Linked DNA regions of Schizosaccharomyces pombe. The gene in region 1 interacts genetically with each later gene. Each region holds a gene or a part of one and is shown in the gene's direction. Other genes may lie near its edges. The genes, in order: arp6, med7, mcl1 and mub1.

Region 1 (4,273 bases):
CGAGAACACGGTTGATGTCTTACGTGAAATTGAAGCAATCTTACTTCCAATGATTAATTTTGTATTAGATAACAACATTTTTGACGTGTATGCAGAGTTGTTTGAAATTATCGATGGTTGCACTTTTGCTTCTAAGGAGATATCCCCTATTATGTGGGGCGTGTATGAAAAGCTTCAAAAGGTGTTGAAAGAGTCTGGCATTGAGTTTGTAGAGGAGGCAACTCCTGCCTTAAGTAACTTTATCACGTATGGTGGAAAGGAATTTGCTTCCCGTCCTGATTATATCGCCGTTATGGTTGATATTATCATGCAAGTTTTTAATAGCGAGCACCTGGCCGTCAATGACCGTGTTTCGGCTTGTAAACTAACCGAACTTTTAATGCTTAATTATCGTGGCCTTTTGGATCAATATGTGCCTGCGTTTATTGAGGTTGCTGGTAATCTCTTACTTGTAACTGAAAAGCCAACTTCTCAAACATACCGCGTATTTTTGTTGGAGGTTATAATCAATGCATTATATTATAACCCATCGATGTCTCTTGGGGTACTTGAAATGCATCAGTGGACTTTACCATTCTTTGCGTTATGGTTTGAAAATATACCTTCGTTTACTCGTGTGCATGATAAAAAGTTGAGTTTGGTAGCTATTTTATCGGTAATTTCACTGGGAGCTCAACAAGTTGCTGTTGCTATCCAAGACTCTTGGGGTAATATAATGAAAGTCATGATAACTCTTTTAAATACACTACCTGAAGCATTAGCTGCTCGCGCGGAATTAGAAAAAGAGTATGACGGTGAAACATTTAATTTATCTGGCTCTGGTTGGAATGATGGCATCGATTGGGAAGCCGATGATGATGAGGGTGTCGATGACTTTGCCGTCGAATATGGGGGACCTGATTTGGGTGGAGAAATCTCGGCTGATGTGGTTGACGATTTTGACGAATTTGAGCATTTCCAAGGAAATTACTTGTTGGACGAGGATCCTCTTTTCCATACTTTGTTAGATCAAGTTGATCCATTTTCACTTTTCCAAGAGTTTATGGTTCATTTAAAGGACAACAGCCCTGTCACATTACAAGATCTTGTCAAAAATTTGGAAGCATCCGAGCAGCAATCCTTACAGAGATTGGTAACTGAAAAACCCTCTACCCTTGCTGTCGCTTCCGATAAAACATGAGCCTGTTTGGCGCTCTAAGCCTGTCCAATTTTGGTAATAAAATATAAAAATATAAAACAAGCATTTTCTACACAGTGGTAATAAGCCAAACTGACATATTTGAACGGCTCTTTTTAAATGGGAAATCAAACTCTACGGGTTTGTAAAAATAATTTCTTCAATGAGATACGACCCGGAATTATGGCTTGGGAAAAATGGATGGAGGGTTTGTCTAAAGGGAAGGCTAAGAAAATTATTGTTGTATCGGTTTACAGTTCGGTGAAAACAAACGCAGAGGTGTGTTTCTTTTATAAGAATTTTGGAACGCCAATTGATTAAATGAAATTTAAAATCATAATATACCAGTTAATAAATATGAGAAGTTTTAAAATCGATTAATACTAGTTCATTTGCTTTTACTTTATGCGAATTGACAAACGCAAGTTGATGAGAAAATGAAATAGAAATATATTTTTCTTGAGGAAATAAGCATAAAGTTAAGTATCCACGATTTAGTAGTATAGGGAAAGTCGGTGTTTATGAATGGTATATTAGATGTACGTTGAATTAAGCAGCTAACTAAATTGATAACGGCTAGTTTAGGGGTTGGATAATATGATAAACGGCTTTTACAAACTAAATTTGATAGACAGCCCCCCATTAACGATGTTGTTATATTGATAAAGCTAAGATTTGCAAGATTTATCTTTAAAGTTATTTTAAAAAGATATCCTTCAAATTTATGATATTATTAAAAATATCATAAATATCTTTAAGAGCCAGCGTTATTATACTATTGCTTCAAACTGTAATGATATTGTTGTTATAGCACAACGCTATCATATAACAGCATTCCAAAGCCGTAACAACAGTACATTTAATCGCGGTTTTTGGGTGAAGTTAAGACCTAAGATATAGGAATACATTTTTATTAATAATATGGGACTACCCCCTAAAACTATTGTTTTAGACAATGGGGCATACCATATAAAAGCTGGATTTGCAGGTGGAAAAGTTGTGTAAGAAGAAGTGCATCACGTCAATAAATTTCATGTATCTTTTACTTTTTTCAGCTAACGATAGTTTTTAGTGAAATTCCGAATTGTTTGACGAGATCAAAAGATGGAAACAGATTATTTTTGGGGAATGAATTGGCCAACTGTAACGACTTTACAACTTTACAATTTCGCAGGGCGCATGAAAAGGTACAGCATTTATGAGGGAGTATTATTTACGAACAAAATAAATACAAAGATTATGTTTACTAATACTAGTAGGGGTATTTGGTCCATTGGAGCACAGAAACAGCCGTATGGGACTTGGTAATGCGCAATGTAGGTGTGATGGAACCTAGCATGGCAGACTATTCTTTACTGCTTACACAGCCCGTATTTACAATGCCTTCCATAGAACACAATACTATACAACTCGTGTTTGAGGAATTCCAATTCGATGCTTACCTCCCTTGCACCCCAGCTGAGCTAATTCCTTGGGATCATGGAAGTTTCACAATGAATCAAGAAGATGCGTATACTGGTCAACATGGAGAATGCGTTTTGGTAATTGACTCTGGATATAGCTTTACACACATAATTCCTGTGATTGATTTCTCTGTTCAAGAACAAGCGGTAAAGCGAGTTGATGTGGGAGGGAAATTACTTACGAATTATTTAAAAGAAGTCATCTCATACCGGAAGTACAATATGATGGAAGAAACATACATTGTTAATGAAATTAAAGAGTCCGTTTGTTATGTGTCTCAAAACTTCAAGGAGGACATGGAGATATGTCACGAAAAACCACGGTCAAAATTGGAAATTTGTTATGCTTTGCCCGATTACAGCACTGGAAAACATGGATATATTGTTAGAGATATTAATCAAAAAATAGAGCAACAAGTTTTGAATCTTTCAAATGAGAGATTCATGATACCAGAATTATTATTTTCCCCATCTGATATCGAAATACGTGAGGCTGGGATTCCAGAGGCGGTCATGCAAAGTGTCACCCACTTTCCTGAAAATATACAGGCAATGTTGCTTGAAAATGTTGTTACAATAGGAGGAAACTGTAAATTTCCCGGATTTCATAAAAGACTATCATCTGAATTACGGTCGCTGGCACCAGCTAATTGGGAAGTTAAAGTTTTTGAACCTTCAGATCCTATTTGCTTTCCATGGAAAAAGGCATCTCATATGCCGTTGGAGCACTGGAATGCGAATAAAATAACTCGTTCTGAGTACTCAGAACATGGAGCAAACATAATGACACGAAAAAGGAGAATATAATAGATCACCATTTTAAAACTCAATAATGTGGGTTAAATTTCTATCTTCACAAAATTCTCAAGGCGAGCTGATAATTCGCATCTTAAGAAATTGGTTTATTACATTAAGGCTACAGCAATATAAAACGAAAAATATGCATGCATTAAGAATAAAATCTTTTTATATTAATTAACGAATCATTCTATCTCTTGATCAACCACTAAAACAACAGCTAAATAACTATATCTTTATTATTGTCGCCAGGATAATTCATACCTAAAAAGCGTTAGCGAAATGAAAGATATTATAAAAAAGATAGGAATGAAAATCAGTATACAAGTATAAAAATTTAACCACATAGTTGTGTCTTCAAGACTAATCGATTTGTAAAGCATCATATGTAACATTCTATCTCTTCAAGTGTTTATACTTACATATTATTAATGTGCCTGAAAAACAAGATTGAAAAAAAAGAAAAATTTCAGCACTTCTTCACTACTGTTTCAAGTGCATTTTATATGTACAGTGCAGTTTCAGGTTGACAGTATAAGAGTTAAAGCAACCTTGAGTTAGAGCAGTCACGGTATACTACTTTAATTAGAATGTAGCGCGTTGCGTTGCAATGTAGTCGTGTCGCGTCTGTTTACATTTTGGATAGAAAGAGCTTTTCGTGAAATTTTGTTGCTTCTGTTGGATAAATTGTTCTTTTTCTCAAGTTAATCATATAATTCAGTAAAGGAAAACTGTGTAATAAGAAGAATCGAGATCCCAAATTATTTCTGTTGAGCCTTGTTCATGGGCTACATATATTTTCCCTCACATTTTCAACAGTAAAGCCTTAAATATA
Region 2 (5,643 bases), on another chromosome or scaffold:
GTTAGTGTTTGTTCCACTTTCATTAGGAAGAGCTATTTATGCTTGGTGCTTTCCTAATGTGGTAAAGCACGATTTTTATGCTTACGCCATTGGATTTTACTCTATTTCTTTTCCAATGTATGCAATTCACGCGTCTGTTAAGTTTCTGAAACTTGACTATTTACGAAGCCTTATGAATAAACTAAATTTAAAAATTGTTATGAGGAGCTTAGTAATGGCGTTAAAATATCTTTTATTAGCATTCCTTGGAATATTTATCTTACCACTCTTACTTGGAGCTATATGGGAATTATACGTCGCTATACCTTTCCGAACGATATTTAACAGAGGGACTCTTGCTCTCGATGCATTCCAAAACTGGGTGATTGGTCTTTTTATGCTTCGTATGATATATTTTACTGTGACTTCTAATGAAGAGCGTTTCGTTTCAAGGTTGTTTCAAGATGCTTTTCGTGATAGATGGACGAATCCTCAAATTCTTCCATTATTAAAAAATGTTCTCATCCCTTTTACATCAGCCTTAATAGCCGCCGTTGTGTTGCCAAGTGTTTTTACTTACGTAACCTATCCTTTTCTTTCATCCATTTTCCCTTCTGCATCTAAAACCCTTATGTATCGGTTGATGCATCCTATATTTTTAGCATTACTTGGGCTAGCACTCTTGGGGCGCCGTTTTGTAGAAACTAGTAGTAAATGGTCGCAAGGAATACGTGATGATTTATACTTAGTTGGTACGAGACTGCACAACTTTGGCGAATCTGCTCCTCCAGCCATTTCTGAGTCTGCCGAAAAATAAAAGTCTAGTCATCTACTATTTTTCAGATTATCCTTCTCTTTGGAAAACTGGAGCGAGGACATCTGAAGTAATATAGAGCATTGTGAATGTATATTATTTGAATGATGTTTTTGTTTTAATTGCTACGAAACTGTTAGTTTAGTTGCAGGAAATTACAAAAAGTCATCGTTTGAACAATTGGTTTGTTATTGTTATATTGCCAGGCATCTTATCCAATTTATCGTAACTGGTATTATCATGATATGGTGCTATTTATTTAATTTTCTTTACAAAATTGAACAAATATCAATTATCGTTGAATTTCTTTGATGTATCTGATGACTGTATCAAACCGTAGCAGCGAAAATTTGCAGACAATCACTAGCAATGGATAAATTAGTTAATTACTAAAAAGAAACAGTTATAACAAATATGTTTACTACGGTTATGTGACAAATTTATGAAAATGTAAAAGTTCGTAGTATTGCATGTGTTGATTTTGTAATCCATTCAATACTAACTAATCCTTCGTATAGAGGAATATCAAAATACTTTATCACTTAATCAATTTAAATTTTACGATTATGTTGGCCTAGTAAAATATTCATGTTAAGGATTTTATGGCATTCAACAATAGCGATAAGCTGTAATATTACAAGTAATAAACTCCTACTTAATTCGTTTCCAAGCCCATTTATTAAAAAGAATAATTCAGTGTTGTTAAAAGAAACACTGCAATTCTCTAAAAATTAAAAAAGCCAAGAAGTGTATAATTTTAAGCTACTTTAATCAGTGAAACTAATTTAAAACCAAGAATGATTAAAGATATCGAAATAAACAATTTATAGCAAAATTTATTGGTGATAGAAGCTTTCACTTCGTATTCCATATGCCAGATAAAACTACCCACTTTTACTGACTATTCCAAAATCCATTTTGAGCAAAAGATCGGTTATTTTCAAGTGTTTTTATATTCAGGATTTTCATGTCAATCAGTTATTGAGCGTCATATCGTTGTTCAATTACGGTTTTCTTAACATTATAGAAACTGCTTTTCTAAAAAAAAAAAGAAAAAAAAAGAGCAGGCATTTTTATACTAAGAATCAGCGATAAAAGGGAAGACAGTTACATCAATCTAAAATCTAGTTTACGATAAATACTATTTAACTAAAAGAGAATGGAACCAAACGAAGGAGTACAACTGTTTTCGGCTTTTCCGCCTCCACCTCCATATTATAAGTTATTTACAAGAGAAAACATAGAAAAAGTAATTTCAAATATGGAGAAAGAAGCAAAACATGAGGATGACGCGAATACTTTACAACCTAAGACTGAAGAAGAAATAGAGTCGCTGGCCAAGCTGTTTAAGAAGCCGTCATGTCTCACATCTGGGACTTATCAAATGTTTGGTGACACATGGAGGGTAAGTTTATTTTTATTGTTTTACATTAGCTGCTTTTCATCTCTCACTAACTTATATCGCTTATAGCTAGACGAAGCTATACCTTCACTCAAAGAATTTGGAATCCCTGAATTATATAAAGATATAAAAGATGGAGAAGATGAAATTGAAGTGGTAGAATATGATCCTAAATCCAATGCGATAGTTGGTACTAGTTTTACTCGTGTACACGATTATGATAAAAATTCACCAATTGAAAATGAAAAAATTCTGGAGGATGATCAACATACGGCCATGAAAGAAAAAGATAATGAATCTGATAAGACAATGAAAGATGTCGAGGAAAAGACTGAGCCCTCTCTTAAAAAGGAAGAGGAGGATATACAAATGAAGGAACCTTTAGATTCTCAAGATACTGGAGCTGTTTCAGCTTCTTCGGTAAACGAAGGTTTCCGGGCAGATCAAAAATCAAAGGATGGAGAAACGAGTGATTTGATAAAAATTCCCCGGCGAGCTTATGAACTACGATTTTTATCCCGCTCACTTATGCTTAACTTTCTTGAACTCCTAGGGATTATGGCGAAGGCACCCGAACAGTTTCCTTCTAAGGTTGAAAACATTAGGGTGTTGCTGCTCAATCTCCATCATTTAATTAATGACTATCGTCCACACCAATCTCGTGAATCTTTAATTATGCTTTTAGAAAAACAATTAAAACATGAAGAGTCGCAGGTTGAGCTATTACGTACTCATAACCGGCAAATGACCGAAACTTTGGAAAAGTACAAATCATTAGATTTTAATATGGAGAAGGAAGGAGATGTGATTCAACAATTAAAGTCGTCAATAAAAAAGCCATTGTCAGGCGCTGAAGATGAGCAAAAGTCTAGGTCTATGTTCTCAAAAAATGACGAGAAATTAAAAAAATCGCTTGAATTAATGGAAGACGTGATAAAACGAGATCTTAGCTAATAAACCGGTTTATCTAGTAGAGTTATTTTGCTATTTCCTCTGCTTTTAATATTTGTTTTACAAACAAAAATTCATACTAACGATGAAAAAAATGTATTCTTTCTATTTTAAACAAATCAAAAAAGTTCGTATCCACTACGAAGCAAACCAAAATTTATATTTAAACGGCAAGATCAACCTTTTCCTCAGTGATCATGCTCTTGAAAGGCGCAAGCGCTTGAGAGACGTCCTTATTTACAAAGGATTCAGTCTGCTCGGGAGCACGTCCAACAAAAGTGGATGCATCCAACAAAGAATCTAGCTCATCATAAATAGGAGCAAAATAAGGAGTATTCTTAATACGCTCAATTAAGTCGTTATCCCCTCCCTCTTCCTTGACTACTCGGCCAGCTTGATGAGACAAGACACGAATCTGCTCGTGACACTCATGACGACTAGCACCGTGCTTAGTCATAGCCATGATAATGTTTTCAGTGGCCATGAAGGGCAATTCAGCACGAATGTGTTTTTGAATAACCTTAGGATAAATGACCATACCAGAAATAACGTTCAATAGAATCTTAAGAACGCTATCTGTAAACAAGAAGGCTTCAGGTAACAGAGAACGACGGTTAGAGCTATCATCCAAAGTACGCTCAAACCATTGAACAGAAGCAGTATTAAGAGCATTAGGAATCAAGTTCATAATATAACGAGCTTGAGAACAAATACGTTCACAACGCATTGGATTACGCTTGTAAGCCATAGCAGAACTGCCAATTTGACCAGCCTCAAATGGCTCTTCTACTTCTTTCAAATTAGCAAGGAGACGGATATCAGTTGCAATCTTATGAGCAGTAGCACCGAAAGAAGCTAATGGTTGCAAAACGTCAATATCGATCTTACGATCATAGGTTTGGCCGGTTACAGGATAAACGTTATCAAAACCGGAAAGCTTGGCAACCAATTTATCCAATTCCTCAACCTTGGCATGATCGCCCTCAAAAAGGGCTAAGAAGGAAGCCTGAGTGCCGGTGGTACCCTTGACACCACGGAAACCAATGTCATTTCTAGCTCTTACAAAATTTCTCAAATCCCATAAAAGCTCTTGAATCCAAAGAGTGGCACGCTTACCAACGGTAGTTAATTGAGCTGGTTGATAATGTGTAAACCCAAGAGTAGGAATGTCTTTGTATCGCAAAGACCACTGGCTAAGACGATTGATAACGTTGACTAACTTAGGGATCAAAAGATCCATGGCGCTGCGTAAGAAAATCAAGTCAGCATTATCGGTTACAAAACAGCTAGTAGCACCCAAATGAATAATACCAGAAGCAGCAGGAGCAGCAAGACCATATGTATAGATGTGAGCCATAACATCGTGTCTCTGACGCTTCTCTTCCTTAGCAGCGATTTCAAATTCTGGAGCTGTAATTTTGACATGCGCTTTAAGTTGCTCAATAGCTTCATCAGTAATTTGAGTTAAACCGAGTTGCTTTTCAGCAATGGCGAGATTCAACCACAATTGTCTCCAAGTATTAATACGCATTTCTCTTGAAAAGAGATGAGACATTTCAGCAGAAGCATATCTTGCTGTCAATGGTGTACTATATGAACCATAATCCTCCATATTCGATAATCTTAAGCTCGCCAAAAAATTTCTACCTGTTGTGGTGAATGGACAGTGAGGAACCAACACTAAGTAGTGCTCTACAAATGCTCCACCTTGAGAAGACCATCAGATTTATTATTTTGTAATTTCCATATTAATTAGTTAACGCGCATGAAAAATCAAACGATAATTTATTGTGCCTCCATGCTTCATATGTAGTATTCACCTAACCCACCAAGCAAATCAATTGAAGATCAAGTATAGAGGAGTAAAGGTGCCTTTCCACATATGTTAGCAATATTACAAAAGGGGTTATAAATTTACTTTAACCAATGCCTAAGTAAGAAAAAGACAGAGACCACTTCGTCAATTGAAACTTGTATTCTTAAACTAGTGAATATGAAATGTGAACTAGTAAGAGCAGAAAATTAATTTCTCTATAATGCCAAAATCTACTTCATCAGCAGATAACGAAAACCAAAATTATTTTGGATTATACTATTAAAATATCTTCACAGTGAAAAAGTAATAAACAAAAAACCATCAAGAAAAATAAATATTAAAAGTTGCAAACATCAACTATTAAATAAAGTGTGAAACAAAAAGAGAATTCTTGCTGTATTGGCATGGGTGTTTTTAAATTGGTCAAAGAAATATTCATGACAATCAACCCCAGATATTCTCAGATGCCAAGAATTAAGTGCTCATTTGTATAGGGTAATTAGATGTATTTTGATCGTTTTCGAGATAACCTTTCAGTAAATCAAAGGCTATATTTTATGGCCCATACAAAGGGCGCGCGACTTCAACTACAATTAAAACTCAAGCAATGGTGCAAGCACTTCCAACACGATACCACCAACTTTCTTGAAGTTGAGTTAACCAAATAAGAACCAAAACCAG
Region 3 (4,982 bases), on another chromosome or scaffold:
ATCAGGTACAAGGATGCTATTATCATCGTCTAATATATTATTCAAATCCGTTGATACAGACGGAGCAGAGCCAACAGCACGTTTCCTTCTTTTTGTTGGATGTGGTATTGATTCCTTTGGCTTCCTGGTAAGTCCTTGTAGTTCTGACATATCTGCTGCACGAAGCTCTAACATTTCCAAGGCGACAGAATCATCAACCTCTCTATTTTTTTTTATTTCAGACACGTTTTCTGACTTTCTGCGATCTAAGTGCTTGATCCGGAGTTGCATTTCCTGATCTCCTACTGGTATTAAATGTCTCGGTTGCACTACTAGCAAAAACTTTTGGTAAATCAATTCCGTTAGATTTTTCTGCATCATACGGCTTTCTTCATCACTCCCATCAACCTTTTTATCGAAAGCATTGAATACTTCGAGTACACGTGCACGTCCTTGGGTACTAAGATATTTTACCACAGAGGCAGCCTCCTGGTTTAATTTTTGAGATATCAAATATACATCTTTACCTTTGCGAAGAATGTTATAAATTTCCTTCCATTGGGTCTCATAATATGTGACTTCACGTACATTTTCAATGACCGTAACGTACAAAACCATATGATGCTGCATTAAACTGACAAGTGCTTGTCGAATTTTTGGTCCTGGCAACGAAGTCCGTTTTTGTAGCATGGGAATCGTTAAACGACCATGCCTCAAAAGTGCACTAGCTACTGCCTAAATTGACAATAAATTGGTTAATACAAAAGACTTTGCAACCTCAACTTCAGATTTAGAAATACAATTGAATCCTTACCGAGCAACAATCACCGAAAAATTCCTCTACGAGAATCTCACACAGTTCTACAGCATACTGTGACATGATCAAGCAGATTACCAATCTTGCTTGGAATGGTAAATTGTTTGGCAGACGTAACTACAAAAAAGCAAAGATTTCACAACCTAGAGTATGCCAATAGCCTGTATTTTGTGCGTCGTTAAAGCAGCGTTAACATTTATAGTGTATCACTCTAATACAGAATAAAACTTTAACGATGTGCAAAAACGATTTTCATATTACTTTTTGAAAAAATACATACATATAATTACTGCGAGTATTAAATGAATGATCGAAATCTAATTGTATGATTAATTTATTTAACTTCTTTTTAATTTTCCTGTGAGAGGCTCCACTAGGTTTCTCAATTCCATTTCCATGTCGTTGATTTTTTGTGGTTTAATCAAGCATGACTTATCTGCAGATTCTGTTTTATAGCTTGTCATGGTAAGCATTAATTAAAATACTAAAAGACAATAGCTAATTGCATATTTTTCCTCCATTTAGAATATTGCTGTGCGGCTGTTTGAACATTTATAGCAGACATTTCAAAACTTTTTAACAGAACTGCTCTAATGGAACATCAAATACAACTTCAGAGTAATTAAAAAAAGCTCTGAAATGATTAAAGTTAAATTATTCCTATAGTCTCACATATAAGTTACTTTAGTATTAATTTCTAATTGTTAGCAGATGATTAAAAGCATGGATTGCATATTTTCAATCGTACTTGCATATGAAAATAAATTGTAGACAAACATTTGCAATTTCTCAATAGTGCTTTCGTGGTAGATTTTTTATTTAAATGTTTGTTTACATTAAATAGCGTAACTAGCTAACGAAAGTATCGCTATTGCCATACTAGTCCCAATCTCATATACAAACTCTTCCTCTAGCTATTATGGCAGGGAATAGGCTAGTTCCTAGATATGCCCATACAGATGGACTGACGCGTCTAGCGTATACTCGTGATGGGAAATTTCTTCTTACGGTCGGTTCTAATCAAGTAATCCGAAAATTTCAGGTTGGTTCTGATGAGGAACCCGACTCCATTGATAATCATCAAGATCCTATAACAGGAATTGCAGTTGCTGTAAGTGGTCCTCAAAAAAGTTTGGAGCTAATGACTTTTATATAGGAAAATTATTTTTGTACTTGTTCAGAAGATGCAACTGTCTGCGTATATCCCATCGATTCTCCTACCGAGCATACATTGCTGGCGCGTACTACTCTTCCTATTCGCGATGTGGCATATTCAGTAGATGGAAATTGGATTGCCATAGCTAGTGAGTAAGTTTTTTTTAGTGTATAATGCTCTACTTGGTCGTTTTCAGCCTAACAAATATAGTGAAACAGCAGTGAAAGTGGTTTCGTCCACTGATTCTTCACAAATTTTCTCTCTTCGTCCAGCTAAGGCTTCGAATAAACATGTAACTTATAGCCCGAACGGAAATTTTTTAGCAGTTTCCAGTTGCAATGGAATTTTGTATTTTTATGACACCCAAACTCGTGAACTCATCAAGTTCTTAACAAACACTATTGCCTCTTTAGAGGCAGAATCAGAAATTTGCTCAAAGGCGGCTTGGCATCCTAAAAACGGGACATTTGCAGTTGCGAGTACCGACCATTTTGTATCAGTTATTTCCCCTGATGACTGGCTTCCATTGTACAAACTTCTTCCAAAAGAGAATCATTCTGGTGTAACAGATATCTCCTGGTCCAGTAATGGAATGTACATAGCTGCTTCATTTAAAAAAGGAGGCATTTTAATTTGGGATACACAAAGTCATGAAGTAGTCGTTGAGCTCCCCTATAGTACAGTGGTGGCACTCGCCTGGCAGCCATTTGAAAACGTGTTATCATTTACTACAAATCAGGGAATTTTGTATTCATGTCCGGATGTCATTCCTAAATCAATATTGAAGGAAGAAAATGATCCTACGAAGCCTTTGACTTCGTCAAAAAGTAAAAACCGTACTTCCAAAGAGCTTGATGATCTTTTTGGTTCTGACGATGAGCAAAGTCAGAACGTCAATGATTTGGATGGGAACTCTGCCAACGAGGAAAATGAGTTTATCAATCATGATGGATTGGATTCATCTTTGGACCTAGATGGTGATAGTTATATGGTTGATGAAAACGACTTAAACCTTGCAAAGAAAAGAAAGCAGAAGGCGTTGATCGACAGAACTACAACAATAGAGAATGGTTCTAGTAAAAGACGTTTACTGCAAGCCTCAATACATAAACCCGTTCATACTGGAAGTACACCATGGCAGGGTAATAGAAGATATCTATGTTTGAACTTGGTAGGGTTTATCTGGACTGTACAGCAAGATGCAGAACACAACACTATAACGGTTGAATTTCATGATGAAACTACTCATAGAAAATATCACTTTGTTGATGACCAAAAATTTGAAATGGCATGCTTAGATCATGAAGGTGCTTTGTATGCTTCGCCTGCAACGGAAAGTTCACCTGGTGTTATTTATTATAAAGCACATGTTGATTGGTCGCGTAAATCTGAATGGGCAATGGCTTTACCCATGGAGAATGAAAGTCCTGTGACAATTTCATTAAGCTCAAGCGTTGTACTGGTATGTACGAGTGCTGGATATGTTCGCGTATTCTCAAGACAAGGCTTTCCAATTAGCATTCACAGGAGTAAACACTTGCCATTTGTAGCTTGTTCATCTTTTCAGGATACGATTATAACCATCGCCAACGATGGTTTGAGCTCTGATGGAAATTCTCGTCTTGTTTATTCCATTGAAGACATTTCTCGTGATGAAATGTTGCAAACTGGTGATGGGGTTGCATTACCACCCCAAGGAACGTTAGAGAGTGTTTTCTTTTCGGATGTTGGAGATCCTTACATCTACGATTCAACTGGGGTATTGTTGGTATTAATGCATTGGCGCATACCAGGACAAGCCAAGTGGATCCCTGTTTTAGATACAAATGAATTGGAGCGTCGCAAATCACGGCAAGAGTCTTATTGGCCTGTAACTGTTGCCGATAATCAGTTTCACTGTATATTGCTAAAAGGAGCCTCTCGATATCCCTATTTCCCTCGTCCGATGTTTACAGAATTTGACTTTCGTATTCCTTGTAATACGAACAATCCGGATGCTTCTACATCTGTTCCTGTTTTAGAAGAACTACAACTCCGTAATAAACTATTTTTGACTTTATTGGAAGATAGCATAGGAGATGGCGATGTTACGGAGGACGAAAAAATAAGCATTGCTAGACTAGAAGCTAACATTGACAAAGCCTTGTTGCAACTTATTCAAAAGGCTTGTCTCGAGGAAAGAATCGAACGTGTCTATGAATTGACAAAAACTTTGAGAAGGACAACAAGTATTGCTGCTGCTCAAAAGATTGCGCTCCACCATTCCCTTACAAATGTTGCTGAAAAAATTGGTAATCTACTATCTAACGTCTAAACCCTCACGTCTTAATTTTTATGTAACATTATTTTTTGCATATTAGTAGCTTGAGCTAATCAAAAGGGGTTTGAAGCAAAGCTATGCAGAAGTTTTGTCACGATCTTGCTCCTTTCTAAATTCATTTATATAAGCATCTAGCACTTTGATTTTTTTCTCATTTTTGTATTTAATAAACACATTTCATTTTGTTTACCATATAACCTCTATGTTTATATGTCAGTATATTCGGCATATATTTCGAGTCTATTTAGAAATTGCACAGGGGTACAAAAAATTGATTCATAAGAAAAGGTGGAAACATTTTTTAAAATGACAAAGAGTCACAAAGGAATTTGTATTCTTTTCCTTTCTGAAATGAAATAAAATCTAATGTAGAAACTGCAAAGCTCAGTGCCTTAGGGTGCGTTACAGTTCGTAAAGTTGCAGACACTAAGTGCAGTACAACTTTGTAAAGTGCCAAGCTGCAAACGAAAACACAATTTTAGCATGGAACAAAAAGTGAGTGCGGATGTGTTATTGAATAAATATCAAACATCCATAAGCATCACAAAAAACTTAATCAATTCGTGGTTGGGAAACGAAAATACATCTGTCAGTAGCGATGAAAAAAATGACGATCCACCGTTACAAGCTAGGCCGCCACGGTTAGGGTTGGGTGCTAGTAGAAAAGACCAGTCAGAAAACAGCTGGGTTACTTCCAAAAATGAGAAATT
Region 4 (5,688 bases), on another chromosome or scaffold:
AAACGTTGGGTCGTGCGTTGGGAATGTGTCCAAAACCAAAATTATTCCGAGGTTATATTGAATTCGAAGACGCAATTAAGCAGTTTGACAGGTGTCGAATTCTTTATGAAAAATGGATTCTTTATGATCCCGAGGCTTGTGCTCCCTGGCTTGGTTACGCTGCCTTAGAGACTAAGCTTGGAGATAGTGATCGTGCTCGCGCTTTATATAATTTGGCTGTAAACCAGCCTATTTTGGAAACCCCAGAGCTTGTGTGGAAGGCTTATATTGATTTTGAATTCGAGGAAATGGAATACGGAAAAGCTAGAAGTATTTACCAGCAGTTACTACGGACTGCACCTCATGTTAAAGTTTGGATTAGTTTTGCAAACTTTGAAATTGCCCATCTGGAGGACGATGACGAAGAACCACCGAATGAAGAAGTGGCTTCTCCAACCGCTGTTGTGCGTGCGCGAAATGTTTTTGAAAATGCATTGGCCCATTTACGCCAGCAGGGTTTGAAGGAAGAGCGAGTTGTATTACTTGAAGCATGGAAACAATTTGAGGCAATGCATGGCACGGAAGATACACGTAAGCATGTCTCTTCACTAATGCCACAGGTTGTTAAGAAACGCCGTAGACTTGAAGACGGTTCATTCGAAGAATATTTGGACTATCTGTTTCCGGATACGGCGACTGATCAAGGAGATAAGATGCGCAAAATGCTCGAACTTTCGCGAAAATGGAAAGAGGAAATGGCTAAAAAGAAGCTGGAGGCCTAGATTACATATGACATTTATTGGCGCTATCAGTTTAATATTTAGTAATCGTGTAAAATATTAGTAATTAATTGTTTACGAGGCAATGGGTCATGTAAATGGACGTTGTTACGAAGTTGAGGATATTCAGCGCTTTGGACTGTTCGGATAATAATAAAATAACTGTTTTTGCATTTGAAAGGCCGGAATGGCGCGTAGAAATAAGACAAGCAATCCATATTAGTATTATTAACCTTGAGTTTCGATCTGAGTTTACTTACTAAGCAAGATAAGCGAAAAATTTATGGATATTATGTTGAGGGAATCACACTTGTAGAAATGAGAAAGTTGTAAACATGACAATTTTGAAGAATCCAACGCAATTCGTAAATAACACATTAAAATACAATAAAATGAAAAATCCAATCCAAAATATATTTAATATGTACATATTTATATTTATAAATTGATTGTTCTTTACCTTGCCCCATTGACATACGATCGAGTATCTACCAGTGCGACTAATTTTAGTTTTGTTACTCAAAGTGGCAGGACTCACAGGTAAAGAAGCGGCTGGTTTGGAGTTGTGCTGATCTGATGAACTTGTCAATCAAATGAGATTACAAAATCTGACATTGGTTATTTTCAGCACTGACAGCTTATTCGGACCGGTTTACCCAAATGTTCTGCTAAAGTGAATTTACAGAATACAAAAATCGGCTTATGCGACCAACGTATTAGGCAACATTTTGACTTAAAAGAAAAAATTCATACACAGATTCTGCTAAAAACTTAAAGACACAAAGATGTTCGTATGAATAAAAAATGACTGACTATAGTGAAAGAAATACCAACTGTTGCTAGTTAAAGTTGCAGCAAGTTTTTTGAGTTATTGTTGCCGAGATGTCGATCTCTTCAAAGGTAACATCCAGCATCAAAGATCGCCGAGAGTTCCCAACCATTATAGCCAGTAACAACCCAGCATACTTTGCGTTATGGTGCCTTAAAGGTACGTTCACTGACGATCGTTTTCAAACTCGGTTGACACTCGGGTGAAATGAAGTTGCCTTCTGTCAACTGCCACTTCCAAGAATCTGAATAAGAGAACGAGGATCCGGGAAATTTTCGTAAAAAGAATTCATTCAATTAAAATTAAGGGACTTGCAAAAACTATTTACTGTGGTTTTTAAGCTAAATCCTTGCGATTATAAGAAAACACTTATTCTTTGTTTATCAACAAGGCTGATTTAGCTTCACCACCGTTTTCCTTTTCCAAATCCTAACATTTTTCTTCGAACTTTACTTTTTTAATTGATGCAAATCATCTTGTGCTATTCTCTCTTCTCTTACTCTTGTCAGCTGTGATTTGATTTTCCACTAATCTTGTCTAAAAAGGTACTGAGCATATCCTTTATTTTTATTTTCAAGGTTATTGTGGTTTTCATCAAACTATTCTTATTCATTCTCTCTTTGTATCTTCGTTAATCTCGGGTTTTTTTTGTTTGCCACTTCTCTCTTTCTTTAGCCTCGTGATTTTAGCAGACCCCGGGTTACAACTTTTTCGTTGTTATACTTCCTATTGTTGAACTTACTTGATCTGTGTCGCTTCTCGGCTAAAAAAGTGCCCTTGCTCCTTACTTCCTTTTTCTTTTAGTATTTTTTTTGCTCCTTTATCAGTTCTTGACTTCAAGCTTGAGCTAACCGTAGTCCCTTTTACGTTTACTCGTTTTGAAGAATAATTGGTGTAGATTGCTTAAAAGGATTTCAAATTCGGCGGGACTTAAAATCTGCGAAAACAGTAATTTTTATTTTTTTTCGTTTTCGTGATTTTGGGGCACTACTTATTCTTCCTGCTATCGGCGTTTGTTCTTGGTTTTTCTCTTCGGTTATTGCGTTTACACACAGCAGTTTTGAAAATTATTGAGTAAAATTTTGGTATTCGAAAACTGCTTGTCTTTAACTAAAAAAAATATTATCACATCGTTCGTTTTACGCCAATCTTTGCGTTTGCCAGTAATTTATACTGCAGCAATTGTCTTTAAAAAACTTTATACGTGTTAAATATATTATTAAAGAAAGATGAGGGAATCGAACGTTAGCATCGTATGGAATAACAAAGCTTCTGTCACTATCAATACAGTCCTTTATGATCGACGTGCGCTTGACTGTGACTCCGAAATGTCATTAATGAATTCATTAAGCCATCTCGTTTATTTGACTTCGACTTCACCGAAAATTCGTGAGATCCTTACTATGGATGGTGGTTTGATGCGTTTAATGAATATTTTACGTGCCGGACGTGGACAAACATTTGCCCGAATGACAATATGGCAGCTAGCTCTTCAGTGTGTCGTAAATGTTGGGATACGTGGGTCTGAAGCTATTCGAATTCGTGTTGTGGAAGCTGGTATCGTTCCTATTGTTGTCACCCTTTTAGATGATTTTTTGTTTGCGCTTGAGTCCGTTGTTTCTCACCATTCTCGATTTCAATTTTCCCTTACACCTTCTACTACCCCTCCTCCATCATCCGCATCTGCTCCATTCCCCATTAATTCTAATATTAGCAATTCTCTTGATTCTGTGTCTCAACACAATTCATCTGCTGACTCTTTGTTCGTCAACGGTGATGTACCATCTCCATTTGGAGCTAGTACGGCAAGCTCTAGCTCTAGAAGAGTTTATTCGGTGGATTTACGGGATAGTGGAGATGTCCAACTTCCAAATCAATCTACGTTTCGACATTCCGTGAATCGTGATTTATTGGGATCAAGCTCTACCACTAGTCATGATCGATCCTCCGGCTCCATTTATTCAAATGATTCATTTCAAGATCCTCGTGTTCAAGCAAACTCTCCATTAACCATTCAAAGAATTTCATCAGCTGCACCCTCTACTCCTACTTCTACTGAAAATGTTAATTATAACATGACTACCCCTTCTTCTCCTTCATACTCTCGTCAAACAGGCCCTGCTAGTGAGACAATTAATGACGAGATAGACTCTCCAAATTTTTTCTTTCCAACTCCGCTTAATATTATGACTACTACTCAGGATTCATCACGGGATGTGCAATTGTCTTTAAATAATGTTCAATCACAGGCCTTGAATAATCGTCAGCGTCGTAATCAACTTTTACCTGGTGTTCCTTCTACATCTGCGTTATTAGATGGCCGCAGGCCCGAAAATGTAGTTGATTATCACGGGATTGCCTCATTCTTTGACAACTTTGATAAGAAGATTAATAAACTCCCTCGTGAAGAAGATATACTTTTTGGTTTGCAAATTCTTGCTTATACTAGTAAAAACTATTTCCATATGCGTCCTTACTTCGAGTCTTCTAAAGATGTTCCAAGTTTACGTATGTCGCCCTTACGTAGCGGCAGTAAAACGTGGAATATTTTTCAGTTAGTCGAGCAGTTCACCTTGAAATTCTACCCCCCACAAGTTCAATACTGGGCCAGAGCTATCATGAATAATTACTGTCGGAAAGATGAAAGTCATGGTGGTATACGTCGATGCGCCAATTTGTTATGTAACAAATGGGAAGAGCACAGTCGTCAATTTGCTAAATGCAGAAGATGCCGACGTACAAAATATTGCAGTAAAGAATGCCAGCATCAAGCATGGCCGGGACATAGTCGATGGTGTCGCGTAATTCATAAAGATGGCAGGAATTCCAAACGAGAGAGCTCAAAAATAAACTCAGTCACTGAAAGCGAATCAACAGCATCCCCGGCTGCATCTGTTATTCCTGTTGGAACAGAATCTGTAACTTCAAGCACTCAGAGTGATAGCAGATTGTAGTACTAATGACAGTTTAATGACAATTTCTATCCATTTCTTACTAGGTATGCTTACGCTTCAAATAGACTTACAGTTGGAGGTCACACATATTCTTTTAATCATTTTTCCGGCATTCAATACTACGTTTTGAATTCATTCCTTAATTCCCTTTGCCATCAATTATTATTTCATGTGCCGTGAAGAATATGAATTTCAGCTAACTCTTTACTCGCAATTAAGTTAATCGTTTAACCTTTTTTTATGCAATTAATTGCCGATACATTCAGATTTGTTCTTCTTATTATGGATATCGTGTGGTTTTAGCAGGGCAATAATCATGAAAGCTTTTGAAACCTACAGGGAGGTACGAAGGTGTGGAGGCCACTGTCCTAATTTATTAAAACTTCGAGTTTCTTTTCCGACTGTCCTTCTGTTGCTTATCGTTTTTTCTCGTAACTTAAATGCTTTTACTTAAAATAATAAACTTTTTTCTTTTCAACTTGTTTTTGTTTGACTTGGTTACTTATTAATAAATTAGTCAAAAATTATACATAGCTTTTTCGGAATAGTTAAACCTATGAACAGGGCTAAAGCAATACGATGTGATATTGCATGAAGGCTAAAGCTTTTTGTACTTGTATACCTGGAAGTCAAGAAATAGATCGTACTAATGATGCTTTCGCTAAATTGACTAAACGAAAGTATTATTTCAAGTTATCTTGTCTGTTGACGCTAATATTTATAGAACATTTAGGAGGAATCAATATTATAATGAATTCAGTATTTCTCTATTAGTAGAACAGACTTTGTAATTTGCTTATTACTATAAAATTAAACCAACTCACTTGCAAATAGTGAACTGGAAGAAGTACCGTAGTTTAAGCATAACCATTATACAGTTGAGACAGCAATAAATTGAAGGCTGCTGTATTCAGTGCACTTGTGCTGCATTAAATTGATCTTTAAACCTATTTTTATCTTTGGTTTTCGAAATGCTGCCCCAAGATGACATGACTGATGAAATGAAATCATTGGCAAGCCGTTTAGAAGACACCACTCAGGCTTTTTATGACTTGGCATTGATCGTTTATAACCTTGAAGATACTACTCCATCTGATGCCATTCCTGAAAGCCTTGATACTCTTATCAGAGATCTCAAATCTCTTCC

What was found.
Region 2: mutations in arp6 (region 1) and med7 together harm fitness more than expected from each alone (negative genetic interaction), as found in Schizosaccharomyces pombe (2 studies listed by BioGRID).
Region 3: mutations in arp6 (region 1) and mcl1 together harm fitness more than expected from each alone (negative genetic interaction), as found in Schizosaccharomyces pombe (2 studies listed by BioGRID).
Region 4: mutations in arp6 (region 1) and mub1 together harm fitness more than expected from each alone (negative genetic interaction), as found in Schizosaccharomyces pombe (2 studies listed by BioGRID).

The regions. Positions count from the first base shown.
Region 1 is NC_003421.2:1,209,910-1,214,182, forward strand, and holds arp6 (Swr1 actin-like protein Arp6), read left to right. Parts: upstream 1-2,029; 5' UTR 2,030-2,098; coding exon 2,099-2,178; exon of another isoform or gene 2,179-2,249; coding exon 2,250-2,364; exon of another isoform or gene 2,365-2,436; coding exon 2,437-3,447; 3' UTR 3,448-3,750; downstream 3,751-4,273. Other genes in the region: nmd5 (karyopherin), read left to right, coding at 1-1,180.
Region 2 is NC_003423.3:4,170,690-4,176,332, forward strand, and holds med7 (mediator complex subunit Med7), read left to right. Parts: upstream 1-1,670; 5' UTR 1,671-1,952; coding exon 1,953-2,198; exon of another isoform or gene 2,199-2,264; coding exon 2,265-3,149; 3' UTR 3,150-3,309; coding exon of another isoform or gene 3,310-4,758; 3' UTR 4,759-5,099; downstream 5,100-5,643. Other genes in the region: ubiquitin ligase Doa10, read left to right, coding at 1-796; adenylosuccinate lyase Ade8, read right to left, coding at 3,310-4,758; SPOM_SPBC14F5.10C (ubiquitin-protein ligase E3), read right to left, coding at 5,563-5,643.
Region 3 is NC_003424.3:3,282,479-3,287,460, reverse strand, and holds mcl1 (DNA polymerase alpha accessory factor Mcl1), read left to right. Parts: upstream 1-1,708; 5' UTR 1,709-1,715; coding exon 1,716-1,907; exon of another isoform or gene 1,908-1,952; coding exon 1,953-2,104; exon of another isoform or gene 2,105-2,162; coding exon 2,163-4,266; 3' UTR 4,267-4,457; downstream 4,458-4,982. Other genes in the region: DNA-directed RNA polymerase III complex subunit Rpc82, read right to left, coding at 1-714, 794-859; SPOM_SPAPB1E7.01C (uncharacterized protein), read left to right, coding at 4,756-4,982. UniProt on the Schizosaccharomyces pombe protein: Has a role in regulating DNA replication complexes. Acts as a regulator of post DNA replication initiation. Associates with chromatin during G1 and S phases of mitosis. Required for the transcriptional repression of the outer repeats of the centromeric region.
Region 4 is NC_003423.3:3,766,106-3,771,793, reverse strand, and holds mub1 (armadillo-type fold protein, zf-MYND type zinc finger protein, Mub1-Rad6-Ubr2 ubiquitin ligase complex Mub1), read left to right. Parts: upstream 1-1,809; 5' UTR 1,810-2,816; coding exon 2,817-4,541; 3' UTR 4,542-5,188; downstream 5,189-5,688. Other genes in the region: protein Cwf4, read left to right, coding at 1-761; mediator complex subunit Med10, read left to right, coding at 5,513-5,688.